Linked DNA regions of Callithrix jacchus. The protein of the gene in region 6 interacts with the protein of the main gene of each other region in a pairwise test. Links are inferred from orthologs where the notes say so. Each region holds a gene or a part of one and is shown on either strand. Other genes may lie near its edges.

Region 1 (2,381 bases), on a different chromosome or scaffold from region 6:
CTCTCCTCTCCATACCCAAGGATCCCAAAGTTCCCTGTGGAGCTGCAAGTTCTGGCTGCAGGTCCCAACTGCTGGGGGCTGGCAGAGTGTTCCCATTCCTGTGCATCTCTCTGGAGCTATCTAGGGATCTCTCCTGCCCACTATGCACTTCTCTTGCCTGTTTTCCTGAAGAAGAAACCTTTCCAAGGTAAACAGCACCCCCAGCTCCCCGAAGCCCAGGTAAGGGCCAAAACCGCCCACCCCCATCTTCATTCTCATCAGAAACAGAAGGACTTGACTCCAGCTGAGTTCCACTGTAACTTAGAGACGCCTCCACATCTTCCTCCTCTTCCAAGGCCAAGCGTCGCTTCTGGACCAGCTGGAAGAAAATGGACAAATAATCAGTTCTGCACATGGTTGTGAGAAGAGGTGACTGAATGAGTGGTAAGAGATGGTATTTGGGCAGGGCAAGGGAGGCAAGCAAGTAGTTTAAGCGATGGTAGCAAAGACAGATACTGCAGCTCTTTCCCACCTTCTTGTGCCTTATTCCCATGCTTTGAACCCTTACATTCTCATTTCCTGTGTTTCCAGAGCCCTCTACCCACTTGTTCTGCACCTAAAGCCCAATTCTGAAACTGTTCATCTCTAGAGCCATATTATCCATGACAGTGTAGGGTTAGATAACATCTTGCACGCTTCTTGTCCTGATATTCCCTATATCCCATTTTTACCTGGGCAAAAGTGAGTCCTTCTTCTTGCTCTAGCTCCTCAATTAAGGCCAAGGGATCTCTGTGTTTTTCTGGGGACAGCAGATCTGCCAAAAATTGAGGGTGAATGATGGCCTCCACCTGGAGAACAGAAGGAAAAGTGATATGAGCCCTTAAGCAGGTAACCTGTGAGGCAAGGGGCTGTAGAGAAGAAGCCATGAGCTCCCCAGCTGTCCCCTCTTACCTCTCCTGTATTGTTGTAAACTGACTACCACCAACTATACACATTCTCATGATGTATGCACACACATTTCTCAGTTACAGAATAAAACCTAATTCCTACTACCTTGGACAAACCCCAGAGCATTAGTTCCTGGGAGTATCCACAAGGATCTGCTAGAAACCAGATGTGCAGGCCCAGCTCACCTTGGAGACAAAGACCTTCTGAGAACACAGCTCGTTGATGTAGCTCAGAAGACCTGGATCTGGATACAGCCCTTCCTCCTCCTGCTGCTGCCCTTCTTCCTCTTTCTGTTTTCCATCTGACTCCCCAGTGGCCAAGTGAGTCCCCACCAGCTCTTCCATGATGTCAACATATTCCTGCACAGCTTCTGGTGGGATCTCCTCGGGTGCCTCAGGAACAGGAGGTCTCCGGGGTTTACGCTGACGCTGGCTGGGGGCCCGTGCCTTAGGGGCTGCCTTCTTCAGAGTGTACACTAAGGGAAAAGATAGTCAGGAGAATGGGAAGTGGCACAGAAACCACAGCTTCTGCCTCCCAGCTCTGTAAGGCCAGCAATCTGGGTACATTGAAGTGGTTCCAGGCTGGATTGGGCCAACCTGAAAAAGTACCAGTCATGGGAGATTTAGGACCTAGAGGTCTAAGAATCACTGTATGAGGAATTTTTGAACCCCTGAAATTCCAAGAAACCACCTGATCCAGCTTCCATTTAGGCAGATGAGGTATTATGTGCCTAATTTACAGTCTTGGTGAGAGTAGTTAGTCTACTTGACCAAGATCAATACCTATTTCAGAACAAAAGGAACCTGAGAACCCAGCCTCTTATGGGATGGTCTGTTTGGAACATCAAATGCCACTCTCCAGAGGGAAAGTGGCAGAGCCCGGGCCATGCCTTCTCTAATCTGTGAGTGGCTTCTGTACACCACCCTTTGAGCCTTTGGCCCATGGCTCCTGTCAAAATTGAGTAGCCTCACCTGGTTGCTGGCAAACCTCCGAGGCCAGGAGCTCTGGAGGATCAAGTTTCAAAGGGGTTGCAGAAGACAGGCCCTGAGACCCTCTCATCAACTGTGTGTTCTGAATCTGCATCTCCTCAGCCTCAAACTCCATGAACCTACAGAGGGTGAGAAAGGTGTAGGCAATGCTAAGGAGGAGACCAGACCCATCAGAAACCCAGGTGACAGCCAAGCATGGCTAAGAAAGGACGTGTCTCAATTGGGCAAAGTCTGCCTAAGTCATGTCACCCAGGAGGGTGCTCACAGGTGACTTAATCACAGCTCTAGGGAAACCTTGGGAGCTCAGCACATAGTTCCTTTCCCTATAGTCATCACTTAGGAAGCTTAAGAAAATGAATGGCCAGGTTGGGTGGCTCATACCTATAAACCCAACACTTTGGGAGGCTGAGGTGGGTAGATTGCTTGAGCTCAAGAATTCGAGACCAACCTGGGCAAAATGGCAAA
Region 2 (3,984 bases), on a different chromosome or scaffold from region 6:
CAGCGCTCCACAGGCGCGCCGCCCGGCTCCGGCCCCGATCCCGGCCCGCGCGCCGCCACTCCGAGCGGCCCGGGCCGGCCCCGCCTCCGCCTCCGCGGCGCCCCCCGGCCCAGGCCAGCCCCCGCCCAGTGCGAGTGGGCGGCGCTGCGCAAGGGAGGGTCCGAGGGCCGTCCCCGCCCCGGGCCGCGGACACGCTCCGGCACCCGCGTCACGCGAGTCCGCCGGGGCGCACGTAGGGGCTGCTCGGCGGCAGTCGGGAGCCCTCCTTCCGACGCCCTGTGACTGCGTGTCCGGGGACTTGGCTCGGCTCGGCGGCGGCGGTCACCCTCCGCCCCAGCCCGGGCCCGGGGGCCGGCGGCAGCTGGTCATTGTTACAGCACAAAGAGCCCCGGCGAGGCGGCGGCGGCCGCCCCTCCCCCTCGGCTTCTCCAGGCGAAAATTCCCTGACACGCTCTCAGCCTCAGGGTCCCAAGCAGGAGGCCGAGGGCCGGCCGCCCCCCACTCTCCGGTCCGGGGGCCCCGCGCCCTAGCGTGAGACGGTGGCCAAAGCTCGGTCCGCGCCTGCCCCACCCGCGGCGGGTTGCAGGCGGCAACCTGGGCTTCGCGGAGGCGGCGCCACCTGGCGGCCGACTCGAAGAACACACTCAGCCTCCCCCCACCACACTGGCCCTGTCCCACTCCCCGGCACGGTGTCCTTTCCCCCGCGAACCCAGGCCGGCCTCCCCTTGGGATCACTTTTTAAAAAGAGAGGCCATTTCTCAGAGAGGGGCAGTCCTGGCTCCCCAATATCACTGGGCGAGCCGGTTCCAGCCTACAGCCCAAACCTACACCAGCCTCACGGCAAACAACATTCCACTTTCTCAGGATCGCAGACATTTTCACCTTCTCGCGCACAACACAGTCCCTAACACCCACACGACCTTTCCCATAGGCAGCCTCACCACGCAGCCACAAGCAGTCTCAGCTGTCACGTGGGACCGCGTTCCTTCTTTCCATAATCTTCCAGTCCATGTCACACACAGACACGGTGTCACAGGCCTGTTGTGGAGAGGCTTCCACAATTCGCAGTCCTTCGCACCCAGTCACAGTCTCAAATGCACTTAGTCTCCTGGCCATCTTTCACACATTGACAGCCTCTATTGACATTCACTCACACGGACAACTTCTTACACACACGCCGTGCTTCACAAATATCCTATAGCACAGCCTTTCCCTTAAGGGTCTCGGTGACCCGGTCAGGTCAGCTGATGCCTGCATCCCTGGGCAAAGACAGCCTTTCTCCCCTAAGGACTCCCTCCCCCCCAGGGCCAAGGCCTGCCAGAGCTCGTCCGGGCCCCAGGAAGGAGCATCCCCCCCTTCCAGGCCACAGCCCTGGCCCGCTCTCAGCTCTATTTTTAGCTCTATGGATAGGGTTGTTTTTCTTTCTTTTTCCCTGGAAAGGGAAACACAGCCCAGCCACCCTCAGACTCACCCCAGACCCTCAGCCTCACAAGAACAGACTGAGCCCCTCTCCCCAGCAAAGCCCCCTCCTCTGGCCTTGCCCTGATCCCTGCCTCCTGGGGCACAGAGAGCCTCCTCCTCTTTCTGGCAGCCTGCCCATCTCAGGCAGCAGCTGGGCTCAGCGTGTGTGTGTAGGGGTGGGGGGGTGGGGCGGGGAAAAGGAATCAAGCTACTGCCCACTCCCTCATTCCCTGGGGGGAGGAGCTCGCCCTCCTTTTGCTAGGGGGGTAGGCCCACTCCAGTATTGAGGGGGCGTTTACACTCATGAATTTTCTCGGGGGAGGAGACTCGGAATCCCACAAAGAGTGGAAGTGAGGGTAGGAAGGGGACCCTCAGGCGCTCAGACAGCTGCTCTCTGGGCTGGGGTTAATAGGCGGGGGCAGCTGTCCACTGTCATCAAGGGCCTGTCTCCGAAACTTTCCGGGATGTAGACACCAAGAATGTGCTGGGAAGAAGGACGTCCAGGAGCCCGAGTTACCCCGGCCCTGCCCAGCAGCCCGGCCCTCCTGCTCCGCCCCGGCTCCAGGGGGCGCTGTGCTCCGGTGCCTGGGAGAGGGTTTATCCCGGCTCCAGGCGGAGAATGGAACGCCGTCCGGCCTGGGACCAGGCAAACGCGCCCGGGACTGGGGTTGGGGTCCCCGCCCCGTGGTGGGGTTGGGAGCACTGGCCACTGATCTGCGGAGCGATCACGTGCGCCACGCCTGTTTACGTCTTGGTCTTCACCTGCGGGCGGCCAGGAAGCAGGAACCTCTGGGTGCGTCCCACCCGGCCCGCCTCCATTGCGGGCACGGGGCTGCCCCTTTCCCCCACCCAATACGCGACCGCAGAGTGTCCTGGCCGCTGGGGGTACGCGCGCGCCGGCTGGCGCTGTCCCTGGGAGTGCAAGGGTAGCCAACTGGGCGCGTCCTTTCCGAGTGCTTGTGTATTCGCATGTCCCAAGTGCGGGCGTGGGTCTGTGCACGCGTGTGTGGGGACCCGTTGGCATGCGTTTCCGTGTCGCTTCCCTGTTCTGACTCTTCGCCTGCGCCCGACCCCACTCCTCATCCCCACCCCCAGCTTCTCCAGAAGCGGAAAGTTCGCTCTGGAGCGGGGATGTGCAGGAGGCGGGAGTTCCTGCACCTCCGCCGCCCACCACTCACCCAGCGCCAGCTGCGCCTCGGCTACAGCTCCGGCGCCGCTCCTGCTCCAACGCGCTCGCCTCCTCGCTGCGACAACGCCGGCTCCCTAGCTCGCTCCGAACTCTGGGCTCCGGGCTCCGGGCTCCCGGCTCCCGGCTCCCGGCGCCCGCCTGGCAGGACCTGGTGGAGCAGAGCGGGGCGGGGCAGGGCGGCTCAGGCCGCGCCCCCCACCCGGGGAGGGGAGTGGTCTGCCCCGCACCCCACCAACAGCCGACCCAGTGCCCAGCCCAACAGTGGCTAGACAGTGGCGGAGGATGCCTCTCTGGCCTCTGACTTCACAGCTTACCGGACTTGGTTTTCCACCTGGGGAAAAGGGGCGATCATCACGTGACCGAGAATTCTGCTACCTGGCTGCCTTAACTAAGCTGCCTATAGAGCCTGACTCCGCCACTCTCCCCCCTGCTCGGTTGGGAGCCCAACCAGTCCACTCTGGGCCCAATACCCAAGTACAAGGAAAACCCCTGGGAAGCACACAAAGAAGACTTGAGTTTCACCAGAGCAGCTCCCACCTACCCCCACCATGCACACACCTCACTTGGGGCCGCCCAAGCAGAACCAGCACAGCCCCCTCCCTGGAGTAGGTGTCTGCCCAGGTGAGCAGGCCTGCCGGTTTTGACCTCCCAGGGGGCATGGCTGGGCTTCTTTTAGACTCATAAAGTCCCACCCACAGGCACAAACAGGAAGTTGGCCTGTATTGCAAGGAGGCCCCAAGGGCTCCCTCCCACCATGTCACTCAAGGCAGCATGTGGGTAGGTCTACAGGTACTTGGGCCATATGAGCTGCAGGAGACCTCGGTGAGTTGTGGCTTCTGAAATCCATCCACTGCAGAGAATAAGCTGCTGGAGGACCAAAGCTGACCCCTCACAGCCAAGTATGACACACACTGTCCATCACAGGACAGGGCTGCAGATGCAACTGAACCTGACTCAGCCAGGCCTTTCCTGAATTCTCAGGGAGATTTTTTTGAAATGTTTTTTTCTTCCCAATCCACCGAACCTGCGAGTCAGGGAGATTCTTACCATCCAGTTGGCTGTAGGCAGACCAGTCCTGTCCCAGGAAATCTGCATAGGCCCTAGGGACACCGCACTGCTTTCTAGAATCCAGGGATCTGAATAGACTAGGCCTGATCATGACATGGGGTGTTTAAGGCAGGCATGGAGTAGAATGTGTCTGTGCAGGCAGTGGGGCTGGGGGGTTATTGGCTTCCCCTCCCCATCATTCTGGTTTGTGCTGTGTGGGGGTGTATACTAGAAGGGTGGGGCAAGACAAACAGGCAAGTCTGTATCTATCCCTCTATTCCCAGTTC
Region 3 (3,993 bases), on a different chromosome or scaffold from region 6:
AAAATGTAACAGCCCTTTGAAAAACACAGAAATGCAACTGGCAGTAAAGAGGTTCAGACCTATGTGTTGTTTTTTTGAGACATAGTTTCATTCTTCTTGTCCAGGCTGGAGTGCAAGGGTGCCATCTCCGCTCACTGCAATCTCTGCCTCCCAGGTTCAAACGATTCTCCTGCCTAGCCTCCAGAGCAGCTAGGACTGCAGGCGCCCGCCACCACGCCCAGCTCATTTTGTATTTTTAGTAGAGACGGAGTTTTACCATGTTGACCAGGCTGGTCTCGAACTCCCAACCTCAGGTGATCCGCCTGCCTCGGCCTCTCAAAGTGCAGGGATCACAGGTGTGAGCCACTCTACCCAGCCCAGACCTGTGTTTTTAAGGTTTGTTAAACTTGAAGAGCTAATGACTTTATTTTGATCAGAGGTTAAAGAGAATTCCACCTGCAACCCTGACACCTTGCACTTGCTTCTCAGTAGACTGAAGTGTTACAGCTAGTTGTTCCTAACAATCTCCCACAGCGGGAGAATGCAGCGTGGAGTAAGGTACCTGATGGAAGAGAGCCATGGAAAACAATTTTGTGTGAGTGCTTTAGTTCAGTTCAACAAATATTAAAATTGGGCTTCCAGTATGTAACAAGTATTATGCTAGATGCTGGAAATAACCTGAAAAAGGAACCTACCCCCTCTATTCCCTTAAAGATTTATGCTTCTTAAATACAAGAAAGAAAAATATTTAGTTATGATGATACAGATTGCTTAAATTATAGGGAAATATTGCAATGGCACAGTGGTTGCCTCATAAATCCTGGAGAAACTATCAAACTAGGCCATCAATCCTTATGGGGAAATCTGAAAACAGGTTTGTTAAAATGTATGACAGATTTGTCTTTTTGACCTAAAGAAGATGGTGCCGAACACTGCACGGCAACCACTAAGTAGCTTGGAGTCTATAGGCATAATAAGGTGAATTACTTTGGTTAAAGTGATTGCACGTTAATTTAAGAAATTATCTTCCTCCAAAAGAGGTGCTTATTATCCTTTTCTGAATTATTCAAGTCTAGATTCTTTTCTTCTGCCACGTTCGGTTAGCATGAACAAGCATCATGATCATTTAATATTCAACTAAATGAGATGTTAATTTTCACTGCAAGATTAGTGAAAGCATTTACACAAAATTACAGAAACTGAAGATGCCTGGAAAAATTCTTGAGGATTATTCAGTATTCAGCACAGTGGTTAAGAATGTTCTGGAGTCTTAAGGGGAACCCTAGCACTCCCCAACATTACTACCTCTATTGTGTTACCAGGAGAATTAAATGAGCAACTGTGTTATGGGCTTATCAGTGTTAGGCACATAAAAAGTGTTTCCCAACTGCTAGCTCCTATTAGTATGAAAAAAAGGGGGGCCCACTGGTCCCAAAGTGCGGGCCGCTCTACGATTGTTCTCTGGAGACACCACCGGCAGGCCTGTTTCTAAGTGAAAGCTGGCATGCAAACTGAAGTGACAGAGGTAGAAGGGCTCTTCTGCCGTTTCAATTGGCATCTGGTGAACTATGTCTAACAGCTTAACGCCCAATTGAAAAAAGCTGTAAACTAGGATGGAAAAGAAGAGATGGGGTTTGAGCAGTGACTACAATTCCGAGTGTGTGGTTCAAAAAACACTCCCTCCACACTTAGCTTTAGGCAAGCGACTTAACCATTTGAGCCTCCCCTTTCCCATCTGGAAAATGGGGTAACAAAAGTTACTTTCAGTGTAATTGGTTTGTTAGTATCTCAACGGATAAATGCTGGAGGGGATGGACTCCCCGTTTCCCATCATGTGCTTATTTCACAATGTGAGCCTGTATCCAAACATCTCATGTACCCCATAAATATATACACCTATTATGTACCCTCAAACATTAAAAAATAAATTTTTGAAAAGTTACTGCTTCCTGGAGTTCCGTTACGTGCGGAGCACACAGCTCCCGCTAGGCGCAAAACCACCACCACCTGCAGCGGCCGGCCCTCCGCGCTGGCCATGAAAGGCGCTGGGGTCGACAGGCTGCGAGGGGGCGGCTTCCCGGGTTCGGCCACTTACTGCGGGGCACCTGGTTCACCCGGGTCTGTCTTGGAGGAATGCAGCGAAGATTAAACCAGTTAATCCAGGGAAAGCGCTTAAAACGGTGCCTGGCGCGCCGCTGGCCCCCACGCGCCCTGGGGCCGATATTGAACTGCGTATTTGCAGGGCCGTGGGCCCCGCGCCGAGGCTTCCTGCGGGCGGGATCCGCAGGCACCGCCGGCCCCGCCGCCAGGTGCGCCCGAGCCCTTCCCGGCACCTGCATCCTCCACCGCCAGAGAAAGCAACTTTTTAACAGTTCCGCATCGGGAGCCTCCTGGGCCAGGCCGCCACCCGCCCGCCCGAGGGGCGCCCCCGCCCTCACCTTGCTGGAGGTCCTGGTGGTCGTACCACGGTTCGTCCTCCTTCATCTCAAACTCCTCCACCAGGTTTTCCGCCAGCATCTCCGCTGGGTCCTCCGGGGGCAGCGGCTCCCACCGCCGCCGTCCCACCTCAGCCGCTGCCCCGGGCTCTCCCCCGGTCCCTCCGCCCTCAGCCAGAGCCGCCCTCGGGTGGGACGCGCCGCCGCCCAGGCTCCGCCACTCCGCCTCAGCCCTGCTCCCGCCGGCGGCCGCTACCGACCGGCCGCCTCCTTGACTCGCGTCGCGCCACCCAACGGCCCCAACGGCCCCAACGGCTGGGCGTTCCGACGCGAGGGCCCCGAGCCGGCTCCTCACGCCGCCGCCGGGCCCAACGTGGCACTTTGGCAGAACCCTCCCCGGCTGGGGATGCGATTCAAACCCCCGGCGGCTCCTCAACCAATCGGGAGCGGGCCGCTGGCCGAGCGGCAGCGACTTCGCCCAATCGCGTCTCTCCAAAGGCGCGCGGCTCGCCCGGTCTCGAGGGCATGCAGCCAATGTCGGGCCCGGAATAAACAAAGAAGGCGGGGAAAGAGTGAAGGGGTGCGGCCGAAAGCCCGCCCCCTGATCTGCGCGGTGCGGCTCCTAGGAGCGTGTTCTGGGGTCTGGGCTGTGGAGCCCGCCGCGCCGCGTCCTACCCCTGCGGTGGGTGTCCCGAGGCCGGCGCGTCCGTGGATAGGCAACGAGGGCCTGAGGGTCTAGAATTCCGACCTCTGAGAGTTGAGCGGTTGTCCAGGGAAGTCCTTCGTGCCGGCGGGAGGCGCAAGGGTGCCAGAAGCGCTTGGTCCGCCGCCCGCTCGCCCCTCTCGCATCTTGACTCAGATTTGCTCCGAATCTGGCGGGGAGACTCGGGGTCGATCGGGAGTTTAGGGCTAAGAAAACGCCCATTGAGCGGTAGCTTTTGTCTCCTTGATATCTGAGCCCTGGGAATTGTTCTGACGCTCCCTAAAACGGTGGGTGCCAGACCCCCTTGAGAATTTGGGGCGGGGAGGGATGCCCGAAGCAGTCCACTTGGAAGGAAAAAATTGCAAGCAGTGTTGCATACGAGTTTTAAAAGGTACCCGTAGACCACAAGTTAAGCATCTGGGGACATGACATTGCACCTGGAGGGGACAGGCTGCAGCCCCAGCACTTGGTAGCCAGCGAGGCAGAGCACGCTGTCTGTCCTCCACCGACAAAACCCAGCAAATACTGCTCGTGGGTTAAGCTTTTAGCACCATCTTGCAGACAAAGCACGGAAACTCTTAAGCAGGATGACAGACCTGAAGGTCAATGTTCTCAACCTTGAAGTAAAGGCAAAGGTGCAGCCGATGGAAGACAGCAGAACCAGTATCTTGCTAAGTTTGAGCAACAAAACAACAACAAAAAAATCGAGGTTTAAGTATATAATTCAAAGATTAGAACATAAGGTAATAATTGTTAGAAGTGGAGAGGAGTGTTAGTTAAATCCTGATCTATTTTAGCAGTGAGTCGGCAGATAATACCTTACATTGATAATCCAACAAATCGTTTCCACAAATATGGAGAGAGCTGCCAGAACTG
Region 4 (3,500 bases), on a different chromosome or scaffold from region 6:
TCCCTTTAATTTCATACCTCTAGAATATGGTATATATTAGTTCACCTGCCCTCTTCACCATCTCAACCTTTGGGCTTTGCAGGTGAGCTGCGTTCTCTGCGGGAGGAGATTTCCCTGTTAGAGCATGAGAAAGAAAGTGAACTTAAGGAAATAGAACAGGAACTACATTTGGCCCAGGCTGAGATCCAGAATTTGCGGCAAGCAGCGGAGGATTCTGCAACTGAACATGAGAGTGACATAGCGTCCCTTCAGGAGGATCTCTGCCGGCTGCAGAATGAACTTGAAGACATGGAACGCATTCGGGGAGATTACGAGATGGAGATTGCCTCCCTCCGTGCAGAGATGGAAATGAAGAGCTCTGAAACATCCAATAGTTTAAGTCTCTCAGATTTCTCTGGGTTGCAAGGTATGAGAGCAGTCAAGTCTTTCAGTAAAGTCAAGCAGAGGAAAGGAGAAAATATGTAGGAAAATGGTAGAAAGTGGTGTTAGATCATAAATTGGGAACCTCTAGAAAAAACCTCCAGGTTTGGGGGTGATGGATCACAAGGTCAGGAGATTGAGACCATCCTGGCTAACATGGTAAAACCCCATCTCTACTAAAAATACAAAAAATTAGCTGGGCATAGTGGCATGCATCTGTAGTCCCAGCTACTTGGGAGGCTGAAGCAGGAGAATTGCTTGAACCCGGGAGGCAGATGTTGCAGTGAGCCAAGATCATGCCACTGAACTCCAGCCTGGCAACAGAGCGAGACTCTGTCTCACAAACAAACAAACAAAACAATAAGAACCTCCAGGTTGAATTGAAGACTGTAAAAGGGCCAGGCATGGTGGCTCATGCCTGTAATCCTAGAACTTTAGGAGGCCAAGATGGGAGGATCACTGGAGCCCAGGCATTCATAACAAGCCTGGGCAACCAAGTGAGACCCTATCTCTTCCTAAAAGAAAATTTTAAATAAAGGGGGGAAAACCTACCCAGATGTTACATAACTGGTCCATGGTGGTGTAAGAAATAGCACCATGGAGAAGTACCCTGGGAATTCTTCAGAGTCATTGGGTCTTTGTTGATTTGACTATGGGAAACCCCTTCCTGGGAAAATTTCCAGCTCTAGGATGGGCAAAGAGGGACCTGTCACCTTGGGAAACTCTTCCTGCTGCCCTGGCATCATGGCGCTTTGCCTGGACTGCTTTGTGGGGGGCCTCTGGCCCTGCTTCCAGGTGCAGGGATGCTAATTCTTAGACTCCTTTAGCTCACCCCAAAATAGAAGCTTTAGGGGGACAACAAATCAGAGGACAAGACAGCCAGAGAAGAAAAGTTATTGCTAGTGATACATGAGATACCTAAAAGCCTAGAGCCCTGCTTTCAGACAGTGAGTCTCCCAGCTAGTTGCTAGGATTCATGACATCAGAGAGTTTGCCTTTATTCTGAGGCTAGATTTATGATCTGAGTATAATGGAGGTCCTATATTTGGCCAGGTCAAGCAGAGGCAATCAACAAGGAATCAAAGAACTGCAAGTTTTTCCAGCTGGACCAAACCTCTCAGAAGAGCCTTTAGACTAAATGGTGCTGGGAGAGGAAGGCTGGCACAGTGGGAAGGCTTGGGCTGGAGTCAAACAGACTTGAGTTCAGAATCTCAGTTCCACTAATTAGCAGGATGAACATGGGTAGTCTGGTTATGGTCTTTCTCTGAGCTTGTTTCTATATCTGGGATATGAAATCGAAATTGGTTAATAAAACCTTTTTTTCTTTTTCCTTTTTGTGGAGAATGGGGTCTTGCTATATTGCCCAGGCAGGTCTCAAACTCCTGGGCTCAAGCTGTCCTCCTGCCTCTGCCTCCCTAAGAGCTGGGATTACAGGCGTGAGCCACTGCACCCGGTCAATAAAACCTTATAGCTAGAGGGGATCCTGAAACAGGAAAAGGACCTTAGGGAAAATGTAAAGAAATCTTAGTCAAATATGGAGTTTAGTTCATAGTAATGCATCAATATTTGATTCCTTCGGCATGACAGGTATACCATGGTAATGTAAGATGTTAACAATTCCGGAAACTGGGTGAGAACTCTCCCAGGAAACTCTGTACTATCTTTGCAGATTTTTTGTAAATCTAAAACTATTCTAAAATTTAAAGTTTATTTAAAAAAAAAAACTTACAGAGCTATTGTGGGAATTAAATGAATGTGAAGCATGTTGAAATCACTTGCACACTTATTGAATACGAGGCTGAAACTATCAAGTCTAATGCGTTAGTTTTCATTAAAGATTAGTTTCCTTCCTTCCCTCTATGGTAATCTGTAGTATTCTAAGGAATTCTGATTAGAATTAACAGGAAACATTAGAAGTCACTTTTAGGCTGTTGAATCTTCCAGCAGGTAAGATAGGTCGTGGGTTCTACTTAGAACAAGTTAGTGCTCTTTAAATATCAGTAGAATTAGTGTTCTAAGAGACATAATTCTTTTTTAATTATTTGCAAATGGACACCGAGTCTCGCTCTGTTTCCCAGGCTGGTCTTGAACTCCTGGGCTCTAATGATCTTCCTACCTTGGACTTCCAAAATGTTGGGATCACAGGTGTAAGCCACTGCACCCAGCCAACATAATTCTTCATCATGAAGAAACAAAACAGATACAGGTGTTTGTATCATTACAGCCTTAAAAAGTATTGGTGGGTGGGCATGGTGGCTCCTGCCTGTACTCCCGGCACTTTGGGAGGCCAAGGCAGGCAGATTACTTGAGCCCAGGAATTTGAGACCAGTCTGGGCAATATGGCAAAACCCCATCTCTACAGAAAAATTCAAAAAATACCCAGGCTTGGCGGTGTGTGTTATAGTCGTAGGTACTCAGGAGGCTGAGGTAGGAGGATCACCTGAGTCCAGGCAAGTCAAGGCTGCAGTGAGCCATGACTGTGCCACTGCACTCCAGCCTGGATGACAGAGTGAGACTATCTCAAAACAAAACAAAACCAAAAAACAAAAAGTATAGGTATAGGTGACTGGTGCTTAGAGACGTGTGCTGGGGTATGTCAACTAGATCTCTTCTAATGCTTGAGGATGAGGATGGGCTTTTCTGTCAGCAGATAAAATGCCATTTAGAAAGAATTCTTTTTTTTATTTTTAATTTTTTTGAGACAGAATCTCACTCTGTCTCCCAGGCTGGAGTGCAGTGGTGCAATCTTGGCTCGCTATAACGTCCACCTCCCGGGTTCAAGTGATTCTTCTACCTCAGCCTCCCGAGTAGCTGGGACTACAGGCGCCCACCACCATGCCTGGCTAATTTTTGTAGTTAGTAGAGATGGGGTTTTGCCATGTTGGCCAGGCTGGTCTCAAACTCCTGACTTCAAGTGATGTGCCCACCTCAGCCTCCCAAAGTGCTGGGATTACAGGTGTGAGCCACTACGACTGGCAAGAATTCTTTACCACATCCTGACCAGTGTATTTGGTGTGGGAATAAAGGACATAAAATAAACTCAGAATGCCTGAAAGACAGGTACTGGCAGTCACATGTGG
Region 5 (4,039 bases), on a different chromosome or scaffold from region 6:
AACCCAATCTCCATAAAAAATACAAAAATTACCCCTGGCGTGGTGGTGTGTGCCTGTAACTCCAGCTACTTGGGAAGCTGCGGGCTGAGGTGAAAGGATTGCTTCAGTCCAGGAGCAATCCAGAGGCTGCAGTGAACCAAGATCACCCCATTGCACTCCAGTCTGGGTTACAGAGGTAAACCCTGTCTCAAAAAAAAAAAAAAAAAAAAAATATATATATATATATATATATATATATATATAGAGAGAGAGAGAGAGAGAGAGGTATAGACAGATAGATAGATATATTACTATGGATCTATACTTCTCCAACATAGCCCATCTGTTACTGATTGCACATGCAATCAATTGGCAAAAGACTGAACAAATATTTTTCAATAGAGCAGGGGTTAGTACATTATGGCCCACAACACAAATCCAGCCAGTGGACTGTGTCAAAAAAAAAAAAAAAAACTAACTGGAAAGCCATTAGGTTAAGACAGCTCCAGCACTTTGGGTTCCTATGTAAACAAACCAAAACCCAACTCAATATAAACAGTAAAACTAACTTGAGTTGAACCAGTCAGAAACCACCAACCAACTTCTAACTAGAGACATTCCACTGTAACCAATCAAATATGTTCTTTGTCTGTTTCCATAAACACCTTATAAAAGTTTTTCCCTCACACCCTCTTGGTGGAGTCTTGAACCACTTGTGGTCTGGTGATACCCAATTTATGAAATTGCTGAATGCTCATATAAACTCTAAAATTTTAATGTGTTTAAAGTTATCTTTTAACAACTGTTTTTGTATAACCCACGTGCTAAGAATGGTTTTTACATTTTTAAAGGGTTGGGGAAAAAGAAAAGAGGAAAAAAAGAGAAATGAATATGGAACAGAGACTGTACAGCCTGTACAACCTAAAATACAGGTAATCCAAGCTTCACACATTACTTGGTTAACTGAAACTCTACAAAGCAAGGGCTGCCTACATTTACTGTCTGTTCCCTTACAGAAATAGAGGATATCCAAATGCCAGTAAACACATGAATATGTGTTCAATACCATTAATCATTAAGGAATTTAGGCAAAAATCCCAATGTTATGTCACTATATGCCTACTAGAATGGCTAAAATGAAAAAGACAATGTGAAATGTTGAAGCATTTGGAAAAAACAGAATTCCCAGCCTGCCACCAAAGTGTAAATTGACACAATGTAAATAACTTTTTGGTAGTGTATACCACAAACACACATCTGCATATCCTGTAACACAGTAATTTTACTAGTAGGCATATATGCAATAAAAATGTATACATAATTTCATCAAAATATTTATAAAAAGCTTCATAGCAGCCCTATTGGTAATAGCCAAAACTAGGTGGAATACTATACATACAGCATGAGAATAAACTGAAACATAACTTGAATAAATCTTATAAACATAATATTGAGTAAAAATCAGACACAGAGGACTAAATACCATATTACTCCATTTATGTAAAGCAAATAATAGGTGAAATTCATTGATAATGTTAGAAGTCCAGATAACGATTATCTTTGGAACTATGAAGTGGGGCTTTTGGAATGCAATGATGCTCTTTCTTGATCTAGATACTGGATATGTGGATATATATACTTTGTGAAAATTCACTGAGCTGTACACTTATGATTCATGCATTTATCTATATGTCTTTATACTTTAAATATTAATGCAACATAAATATTTCTATAAACTCTAGGCCTTTGAAGGAAAATTGTATACATCTCCCATTCATTTTGCTGATTGCCATCATTATCTCCCATCAATGAAATGTCTTGATTCCTATTACCTTATATTAAAAAGTCAGCTTTGTTTTAATTAATTTTATTGGCATATGATTGCATAGAATGATTATGTAATCATTTTCGATTAATTCCATAACAGATCACAAGGAAAAGCTTTGAAAAGCCAATAATTTGTAATAGTATATTCAAATTATCTGGGGAAAAAAACCTCCTTGAAGTGTAGTTTTGTTTGGCCCTTTGTTTTGGCTTATCTCTGTCTACTACTACTGTGATTTAACCTACATAAAATGCTCAAAGAAGCTTTTCCAAATGTCTGTGCTTGTGGAAAGTTGTTTCTTTCTACCATCCTTGACTAATAATGCGCTGTCTTGTACCCTTCAGTTCCCTCCATCCATCGAGCTTAAAATGCTTCCCAAATGTTGCACTGGGCCCAGGGACATTGTGAACCAAAAAAAAAAAAAAAAAAAAAAAAACCTAACAGTATCTTTTTACAGCGTGGCTCAGCGCGCCTAAAGAAGCACCTCATTCTTCGCTCACACTTCCAAGTGTGAAAACTGAAATATAAAACGATTAAGTGATTCTCTCAAGGACACAGAGTCGATCAGAGGTTGAACGAGGACTGGAAGCTTCTGACTAACCGCGACTTAAGAGGGAAAAAAAGAAACAAAAAACAAAAACAAAAAACATACACCCCTGAAAGAATGCTCAGCTGCTCAGCTCCAGTATTAGGAAACTGGAGACAAAACCGAAATCATACCCAGAAAGAGTTGTCTGCCACCTGAGGACCCCACCACACTGACCCTCGAGGGCCCCTCCTCACTCCCGGCCGCGCGGGGTCAGCATTCACCGAGTACAGACTCTGCGCTGCCCCATTTCCTTCTCCAAGGAAAGGTCTGCGGTCGAAAACTCCAGGGCTGATCTATACCCACCACTATCACTCTCCGTCGCCCAAACCGCCCTGCCCCACCGTTTACCTGAGATGCGCCCGGCGTCGCCTGAGGAGTCGACTCTGCGAGCTCGCCCAGAGTTTCTCAGGCCCAGTGCGCAGCCACCACGTCAGCCAATCGCCGCAGGCTCGGAGCCTCCCGGCCCCAGGCCCACCCACAAATGACCGGGCAGGGGTGCGGGGCGGGGCCCGGAGCTGGAGGGAGAGTGGGAGCCGGTTGCCGGCGGCACGGGAGGGCCTACGGTGCGGCGCGCTGCAACACTGGGTGCAGATGGCGCGCACCGGGCATGCGCATGCCGCGCCGCCTGGCCGCGAGGTGGCTTCTCCAGGCGAAAGAGAGCCTGGGAAGGGCAGGGAAGAGTTTGGAGAGAAAGTAGGCGGACTTAAAACGCCGCCGTGGCTGCCCTAAACGGGTCGCTTATTGTTGTCCAGATCCCGACGAGGAGCACAAAACGTCCTTTCTCTTCCGAAAGAGCAAAACGTTATCTGGACAAAACCTAATCTGATAAGAAGGGGGAGAACGGAAAACTGAAAACGGCGTCTTGTGGCTTCACACTTGGCCTCGCCGAGTTTTCTTAGGACCTGGCGAAATTTTGGTTTCCTTCTTTGTGTGTGGGTTGGGATGAGAGGTGGGAGGGGCGTGTTTCGAAGCGGCGGTCAAGTGAAAAGGGCAAGGGATCGAGCTCCGGTTGAGTGAGCGATAGTACTACCTAGGTCCTGGCCAAAGAACGTTTCATACTAAAACCTTGGAGCTGGTGACTTTTTTTTTTTTTTTCTTGACTGAAGTGCTGGAAGGAGATCTGGATTATGTACGATATGTGAATCATCTAAGAAAAAATCTTGAACCTTCCAGAATTTAACAAATTCCAAAGTTTGTTCCATAGTTCAGAATTGCTTTTATAAATGTCACTTTAACTCCTGTTACTCATAATTTCTTCAGACACCAAATACTTAGTGAGCACATACTATGTGCCAGGTACTCTTCTAAGTGCTGAATAATGAACAATATTTTTTAATACACCCCAGAGAGTAGGCATAATATGAAGTACTGACGGGTTCCTAAATTGGTGTTTAAGTTAATGAAAGGAACTTATCCTTTAGTAAGTGTACAAAAGAGAGTTTAAAAAAACTAAGAAAGGCCAGGCGCCATGGCTCACGCCTGTAGTCCCAAAAGACTGAGGCTTGAGCCCAGGAGTTTGAGACCAGCCTGGACAACATAGTGAGACCTTTACTTTATTAAAAATCAAAAAAATTAGCTGGGTATGATGGTGCATACCCGTAGTCCTAGCTACTAGGGAGGCTGAGGTGGGAAAATCACTTGAGCCC
Region 6 (3,500 bases):
TTATAGCAAGGGAGGAACAGAAGCGAGCAGCCCAGGAAAAGCAGCTGAGAGACTTTTTTAAGTCTAAAAAGAAAACAAATCGATTTAAAGCCAGACCCATTCCTCAATCTACTTATGGTTCAGCTACCAAGGGCAAGTTAAAAGAAGAAGAGCTCTATCGAAACCTTAGGACGCAGCTGAGAGCCCAGGAGCATTTACAGAACTCATCTTCTCTGCCTTCTAGGTCAGCTTGCGGATGCAGGAATCCCAGGTGTCCTGAACAGGCTGTAAAGTTGAAATGTAAACACAAGGCTAGGTGCCGGACTCCTGATTTTGAGGCCCTTCCTGAGAGATACCAGAAACACCTCTCAGAACATGAGTCTCCAAAACTCTTAACCGTGTGTAAACCATTTGATCTTCATGCATCTCCACATGCATCTACTAAAAGAGAAAAAATTTTGGCAGACATCAAAGCAGATGAAGAAAATTTAAAAGAAACACGTTGGCCTTATTTGTCTCCAAGGCATAAGTCACCAGTAAGATGTACAGGTGTAAAGCCTGTGCCTTATACCTGCAACCCTCCAGTGCCCACGGTATCTTCCAGAAAACGAGAACAAGCCATAAGGTAAGTAACTAAGACACAGTACTGAATGACTCATGTTGCCAGATGAGTGTATGCAGCTCTATGGAATTTATGTTTGTGAATTTGAAAATACATAGAAATTATTATTGTATCTATAATATATTTTATTATATAATATAGGATATATAATCAGAGGGTATTCTAAGAATTGAATGTATTTTTCATTTTATAAATTTTGGGGGCTTAGAAAATATTAATCTTAAGATTTCTAGTTTTACAAATCAGATCCTTTTCAAAAGGTTGCCTTTTTTCCAATTTTGAATTATCCCATGTTAAATCTTTGCTAAACAACATTCTGATTGGCTTCAAGTGGATTAAGCCTTAGTTTGTTACCCTCAGGAGATCACTTGAGGAAAAGAAAATATTGGAAGAAGAGAGAAATCGGATCCTAACTAAACAGAAGCAAAGAATGAAAGAATTGCAGAAACTCCTGACAACCCGGGCTAAGGCTTATGACTCACATCAAAGTTTAGCTCAGATATCTAAATGCAAAGTAAAATATCTCAGGTATCATGAAAAAATCTTGAACCTCCAGACCACTGGTTTTCAAACTTACTTTCTTTTTTTTTTTTTTAATCAGTAGATAGCAAAATATGAGCAGATTGAAAATGGCATTTGTGTTTCAGTTTATGGATTTAAATTGTCATCAGTTACTTACGTTTAGCACACACACACTCACTTTGTGGTGAGAACCAACATATATACTCAGCTTCATGGTGAGAACCGTGAAGCTATGTTGATGAATAAAAACATCATCTATTGTGGCCTTGGTTAATAGCTATAATTTTATACCAGCATCTGATCTTGTTCTTTATATTATTTTTGATTATTTTTGATTGCAGTAAACAGATATATCAAAGAGCTTTGTTCTAAGGTTTGCATGAAGTCTTGATAGCACAAATTAACACATTGATGTTAAAATCTATTATGTGATGTGTTCATCAGCACATATGTTAATGTTTAGTAGCATTTTGTTAGTTTCAATATAAAAATAAAGGTATTTGAGGAATGATCCAAGATGGCCGATCGATAACAGCTCGGGATTGCAGCTCTCAGTCAAAGAGCAGAGAACTAGAGGACGCCACCCTTTCAGACAAATTCTGGTCGCTCACAGAGCAGAAGATCCCCAGTGGAGGAACCACACGGGTTGCCAGTGCGACTCTTGTGGCCGGCGCAGCGGTTTTGCCGGCACCTCGGCGCGGCAGCTCTCGGAGCAGAGTAAACAAGGCTGGCTCCCCTTCTGACCGAGGCTTGAAGGACCCACACGAGCCGCCAGCGCGACTCTTGTGGCCGGCGCAGCGGCTTCGCCAGCACCTTGGCGCGGCAGCTCTCGGAGCAGTGTAAACAGGGCCAGCTCCCCTTCTGACCGAGGTTTGGAGGACCCACATGGGTCCCCAGCACGACTCCTGAGACCGGTGCAGCGGCTGTGACGGCACCTCAGTGTGGCAGCTCTCGGCGCAGAGTAAACGAGACTGGTTCCCCTTCTGACCAAGGTTTGGAGCCCTGGGAAGGCAGAGTCACCCATTACGGACACAAGAAGGAAGCCAGACAAGAGAATCCTGGGCAGAAAAGCACCATCAGTCTTAACGCTGCTGTTCTGGCCCTGGGAACTAACAACTTGGACGTCCAATCAAGAGACCTAATCTGAAAGTTGGTAATTTCAAAGACGACAGGAGGATAAATTTACAATGATGGGAAGAAACCAGCGTAAAAAGGCTGAGACTACTCAAAATCAGAACGCCTCTCCCTCTAAAGATGATCACAGTTCCACATCAACAATGGAACAAGGCTTGATGGAGAACGAGCGCATCCCAATGACAGAATCACTCTTCAAGGAATGGATAATAAGAAACTTCTGTGAGTTAAAAGAACATGTTGTAGCCCAACGTAAAGAAACTAGGAACTTTGAAAAAAGGTTTGATGAAATCCTATTGCGAATAGACAACTTAGAGAGGAATATAAGTGAATTAATGGAACTGAAGAATACAATACAGGAACTCCGAGAAGTATGCACAGGTTTAAACACTCGAATTGTTCAAGCAGAAGAACGGATAACAGAGGTCAAAGTCCAACTTAATGAAAGAAAACAAGAAGACAAGATTAGAGATAAAAGGATAAAAAGGAATGAGCAAAGTCTCCAAGAAATGTGGGACTATGTGAAAAGACCAAATTTACGTTTGATAGGTGTACCTGAATGCGACAGAGAGAATGAATCCAAGCTGGAAAATACCCTTCAGGAGATTATTCAGGAAAATTTTCCTGAACTAGCAAAGCAGGTCAATATTCAACCCCAGGTAATACAGAGAACACCACAAAGATATTCCTCAAGAAGAGCAACCCCAAGGCACATAATCGTTAGATTCACCAGGGTTGAAACGAAGGAGAAAATACTAAGGGCAGCCAGAGAGAAAGGTCAGGTTACCCACAGAGGCAAGCCTATCAGACTTACAGCAGATCTCTCAGCAGAAACTCTACAAGCCAGAAGAGAGTAGGGGCCAATATTCAACATCCTCAAAGAACAGAACCTTCAGCCCAGAATTTCATATCCAGCCAAACTAAGCTTCACAACTGAAGGAAAAATCAAATCTTTTATGAACAAGCAAGTACTCAGAGATTTTATTACCACCAGGCCTGTTTTACAAAAGCTTCTGAAAGAGGCATTACACACAGAAAGAAACAACCAGTATTAGCCTTACTAAAATATACCAAAAAGTAAAGAGCACCAACATAAAGAAGAATTTTCATCAATGAATGGATAAAACAGCCAGTTAACATCAAATGGCAGTAACCCTAAATTTAAATCTGTCCCGACCCGCGGGACGAGCAACGGAGACCCTAGGGAGGGAGTAGGGATTGAGAGAGAGACAGGAGACGCGAA
Region 7 (3,500 bases), on a different chromosome or scaffold from region 6:
CTGGATCCTTGAGAAGGCCTATAAATAAGACCATTTGTTTGGTCTCAAGATGACTTGCATTTGCAAACTGAAGAATGTTCCAATAGAAGTTTGATGGTGACACACCAATCTGCAAACTGGCTCAGCCAGTAGTCAAAACAAGTCACTATGAGATCTGGGAAGCTGAAGACTTTGAATGGGTCAGATTATCCTGCATCTAGTTTGAAACAGATAAATTGGAGCTATAAATATATAGCCTCCCTTTAGATTTTCAACTTGAATGATCCATAACAAATAGGGGATATATGTACACACCTAAGGCGACACAGAACCATGAGAATATGATGATCAAACTGAAATCACTTATTTAAACTGGAGTTCTTTTTATTACAATGAGTAATAGTTTACTAAAAATTGGAAAACATGGTTTGTTCTTCAATGAATACAAGATCACTTAAATAAATCCAAACATCTGTAGTTATAAGCAGGAAATCGAGCAATGTAAGATGTTTAACACTGGGAATGACAAACACTTACAAGGCATCTGATTTTCATAGGAATTTGTGTAAATAATTCAGGGATCCCAAAGCCAAGTGCCTATAAAAGAGATAGGTAATACAATTTAGGAATGTGGACCAGGTGAGTGCTTGCCCCAGATAAGGAAGAAGCTGTTAGCCAGCAATTAATAATGCCAGCTGTTTCATATTTTCAAGAAAAAAAAACAGAAATCAGAGTTGTATTCTAAAACTTCCCTGATTTTAAAAAAATGTTGCCAAGTAGTTCAAATTTCTTAAGAAGCTGTGAGCCAAACAGAACAAATTCAGGGGCTGTACTTAAGCAGCAAGCCACCAGTTTGCACATTTTACCATGTCACAAAAAGTGAGCTACAGCTCTGCATGTCTCCAAAATGATAACCCAAACACAACCCAGCTCTTTTGGAGGCCAGCCCTGAATAGCTGGGCTCCTCCTGAGGTCACATCTATCATTGTAGTTGTTCCTTCTAAAATAGACAGTTTCCTCCTGCTAGAGATTTGATTTGATGGTGTCAGCATATGAAGTTCCCGTCATTTCATGACATGTCTTCTTTCAGGCCTGACGGAATCGGAACTGTGACTGTTGAAGAAAAGGAGCGTTTCGAAGAAATCAAAGAGAGACTCCGAGTTCTGCTGGAAAATCAGATTACACATTTTAGGTAAGGATCTGGGGCTTGAGGGCTTTGATTAGGAGATGAGAGTGGAAAAAGATAGAGGGCTTAATGTTCCAAAACTGTAAATCTACCAGAGGATAAGTTGGATATTTGGAAATAACTGAGTAGAAGAAGCAAACCAATCAGCCTTGCTTCCGCAATAACCAGGAAAAGTTTGCATTCTTAAGTTTATGTTATTTCCACTTAAAGAACAAATCCTGCCATGTTCGAGCTGACCCTGGTCATCAATCTATTATAGAAAGTTGGATTTGAAGTTTCTTCAAAGTTCCTAAGTTAAAAAACAAAAATTCTTGCAAATCAGAACATAGTGAACAAGAAAGGAAGGCAGTGGTACTCCTAGGAGAGTCTTCGTTTTCTCCCCTACCTCAGAAACACGACTAGCTGGCTGCACAGGGAAAGAACGAACCTTGGATCCACCTGGGTGGATTGAAACTTCCCTGCATACTCGAAAGAGCCAGCAGATTCTGCACTTGAGCCTTACACCACATTGCCCACTTCTCCCTTGGAGCAAATTAGGTGTTTTTAATGCTGTCCTAGTGGTTCTGGACCAGAGATCCTGAAATAGAAACTGAAAAATAATACTAGCATTTCTAATGGTCCCTATTGATTAAATACTTCCTATATGCCAGATACACAACTGGAGGCTGGAGAAGTGTTAGCCCATGTCAGAACAGCTTTGTAAAGTAGTTATCATAATCCCCATTTAAACCAGGAATAAAACGAGACTAAGAGAGGTTAAGGAACTTGCCCAAAGCAAGCCAGCCAGCAAGTGGAAGTGGAATGCTTACATAAGATAGTCTGTGTTTAAGTATCCATGCTAGTCTCTCTGTCCCATGTGCAGTGTCCTGAAGGGCCAGTGACAACCTGAAACCAGTCACTGGAACTCATAGTGGTATCTGACATAGTTTTTTCTGTGCCATCAAAATCCTCCTGGATAAATCTTTATTGATCTTACATTATATGTAAAGTGCATTACCGGTAGCAGAAGATCCATAACAGTAGCAAACCGTAAGCAGGGAAGGACAGCTAGCAGAATCAATAATTTGCTCTAAATCCACTTTTCTATTCCATATATCAATCTTTTGGGGACTTATGTAAATGTATTTGAATTTGAGCCAATTCTAACTAATACTTTTTTAACGCCAGTCTCAATAATAACATATAAGGTCACATTTGAGCTAACGAATAGTTCTCCTTCACAATAGAAATCTAAACAGAGCCTTATGTCACCACTCTGAATATTCTTTTCTGCTACAGACATTTGCAGAGTCCCTCTTTAGTCATTATTCACACATACACATATATACATTATATACACACATATATGGTGTGAATTCAGATTAACATAACACAACGTGACAAAATAAAAAGCATTTTCCATTCCTCAGAGAGAGTTGCTATAGGAATCAAATTGCAGCATATTTCATGCTAAAATGTAATAATTTAGGCAACCTGAAGAATTTTGTCTTTTTTAGGTATTGCTTTCCATTTGGTCGACCTGAAGGTGCTTTGAAAGCTACTCTCTCACTCTTGGAAAGGGTAAGAATAAAAGTAAAAGATAGATCATGTATATATAAAGAGACATAAACATAATTGTAATGAAATGTTTTGGTTGAATGACCTAGTTGTAATTTTTATAGGATTTGTTTACCATTCAACAAATATCAGAATAGAAGGGAGGAAACTGCCAAAACTCATGATATTCTATCTTCAAACTCCCAAATAGGATATACTGAAGATATGTTCCTAGCCCTTCCCTGATTCATGGACAGCCTTTGCCAATGCTTTGCAGTTCTGGTGCTTTCTCTTTAAGCATGGCTCTCAATCTGTATTAAGTCACAAAGAACTGATTTTAAACTTGCACACTTCTAAGAAATGTGGATGAGTGACACGTTTGCTTGAACCTTCTTAATAATCCTTCTTTTTTCTACTCGAAGGTTTTGATGAAAGATATTGTTACCCCAGTGCCACAAGAGGAGGTAAAAACAGTCATCCGTAAATGTCTGGAACAGGCTGCGTTAGTCAACTATTCTCGGCTCTCAGAGTATGCCAAAATCGAAGGTAAGGCTCCCTTCTGCCCCCAGTTTTGAACTTAAATTGTGATATGCCTCCCTGGGGAAGTCTTTCTTTTTTCTGAAGGGCACCTGAAAACAGTGGTCTATCTGAGTATATTAAGCTGAAACCTGAAAGTACTTGAAATGTGGAAGCCTCCTTGGCTGTGGCCAAGTAAATGAATTAAAAGACATTACAGGGGCTCAGAAAACAGCCTTTGTAAGGGAACAATATTGAAAATAAGATGTTATCAGATAACTAA

The links.
Region 1: the proteins of FAM161A (region 6) and NUTM1 interact in binary tests that used the Homo sapiens proteins (3 or more experiments, as listed by UniProt). The two-hybrid records come from large-scale screens. The link is inferred for Callithrix jacchus from reciprocal best matches to the Homo sapiens genes FAM161A and NUTM1.
Region 2: the proteins of FAM161A (region 6) and LZTS2 interact in binary tests that used the Homo sapiens proteins (3 or more experiments, as listed by UniProt). The two-hybrid records come from large-scale screens. The link is inferred for Callithrix jacchus from reciprocal best matches to the Homo sapiens genes FAM161A and LZTS2.
Region 3: the proteins of FAM161A (region 6) and CDR2 interact in binary tests that used the Homo sapiens proteins (3 or more experiments, as listed by UniProt). The two-hybrid records come from large-scale screens. The link is inferred for Callithrix jacchus from reciprocal best matches to the Homo sapiens genes FAM161A and CDR2.
Region 4: the proteins of FAM161A (region 6) and CCDC136 interact in binary tests that used the Homo sapiens proteins (3 or more experiments, as listed by UniProt). The two-hybrid records come from large-scale screens. The link is inferred for Callithrix jacchus from reciprocal best matches to the Homo sapiens genes FAM161A and CCDC136.
Region 5: the proteins of FAM161A (region 6) and MIPOL1 interact in binary tests that used the Homo sapiens proteins (3 or more experiments, as listed by UniProt). The two-hybrid records come from large-scale screens. The link is inferred for Callithrix jacchus from reciprocal best matches to the Homo sapiens genes FAM161A and MIPOL1.
Region 7: the proteins of FAM161A (region 6) and CADPS interact in a two-hybrid assay, tested with the Homo sapiens proteins (2 studies listed by BioGRID). The two-hybrid records come from large-scale screens. The link is inferred for Callithrix jacchus from reciprocal best matches to the Homo sapiens genes FAM161A and CADPS.

Annotation. Positions count from the first base shown.
Region 1 is NC_133509.1:54,044,561-54,046,941, reverse strand, and holds part of NUTM1 (NUT family member 1), read right to left. Parts: intron 2,036-2,381; coding exon 1,899-2,035; intron 1,403-1,898; coding exon 1,113-1,402; intron 828-1,112; coding exon 711-827; intron 359-710; coding exon 1-358. UniProt on the Homo sapiens protein: Plays a role in the regulation of proliferation. Regulates TERT expression by modulating SP1 binding to TERT promoter binding sites.
Region 2 is NC_133513.1:93,952,708-93,956,691, reverse strand, and holds the start of LZTS2 (leucine zipper putative tumor suppressor 2), read right to left. Parts: upstream 2,801-3,984; 5' UTR 2,640-2,800; intron 1,604-2,639; exon of another isoform or gene 1,472-1,603; intron 1,304-1,471; exon of another isoform or gene 942-1,303; intron 89-941; exon of another isoform or gene 1-88. UniProt on the Homo sapiens protein: Negative regulator of katanin-mediated microtubule severing and release from the centrosome. Required for central spindle formation and the completion of cytokinesis.
Region 3 is NC_133513.1:22,965,431-22,969,423, forward strand, and holds the start of CDR2 (cerebellar degeneration-related protein 2), read right to left. Parts: upstream 2,801-3,993; 5' UTR 2,497-2,800; coding exon 2,418-2,496; intron 1-2,417.
Region 4 is NC_133512.1:118,379,540-118,383,039, reverse strand, and holds part of CCDC136 (coiled-coil domain-containing protein 136), read left to right. Parts: intron 1-82; coding exon 83-406; intron 407-3,500. UniProt on the Homo sapiens protein: May play a role in acrosome formation in spermatogenesis and in fertilization.
Region 5 is NC_133509.1:71,854,757-71,858,795, reverse strand, and holds the start of MIPOL1 (mirror-image polydactyly gene 1 protein), read right to left. Parts: upstream 2,801-4,039; 5' UTR 2,742-2,800; intron 1-2,741.
Region 6 is NC_133515.1:52,292,843-52,296,342, forward strand, and holds part of FAM161A (protein FAM161A), read left to right. Parts: coding exon 1-604; intron 605-961; coding exon 962-1,129; intron 1,130-3,500. UniProt on the Homo sapiens protein: Involved in ciliogenesis.
Region 7 is NC_133516.1:44,309,964-44,313,463, reverse strand, and holds part of CADPS (calcium-dependent secretion activator 1), read left to right. Parts: intron 1-1,069; coding exon 1,070-1,171; intron 1,172-2,661; coding exon 2,662-2,725; intron 2,726-3,123; coding exon 3,124-3,247; intron 3,248-3,500.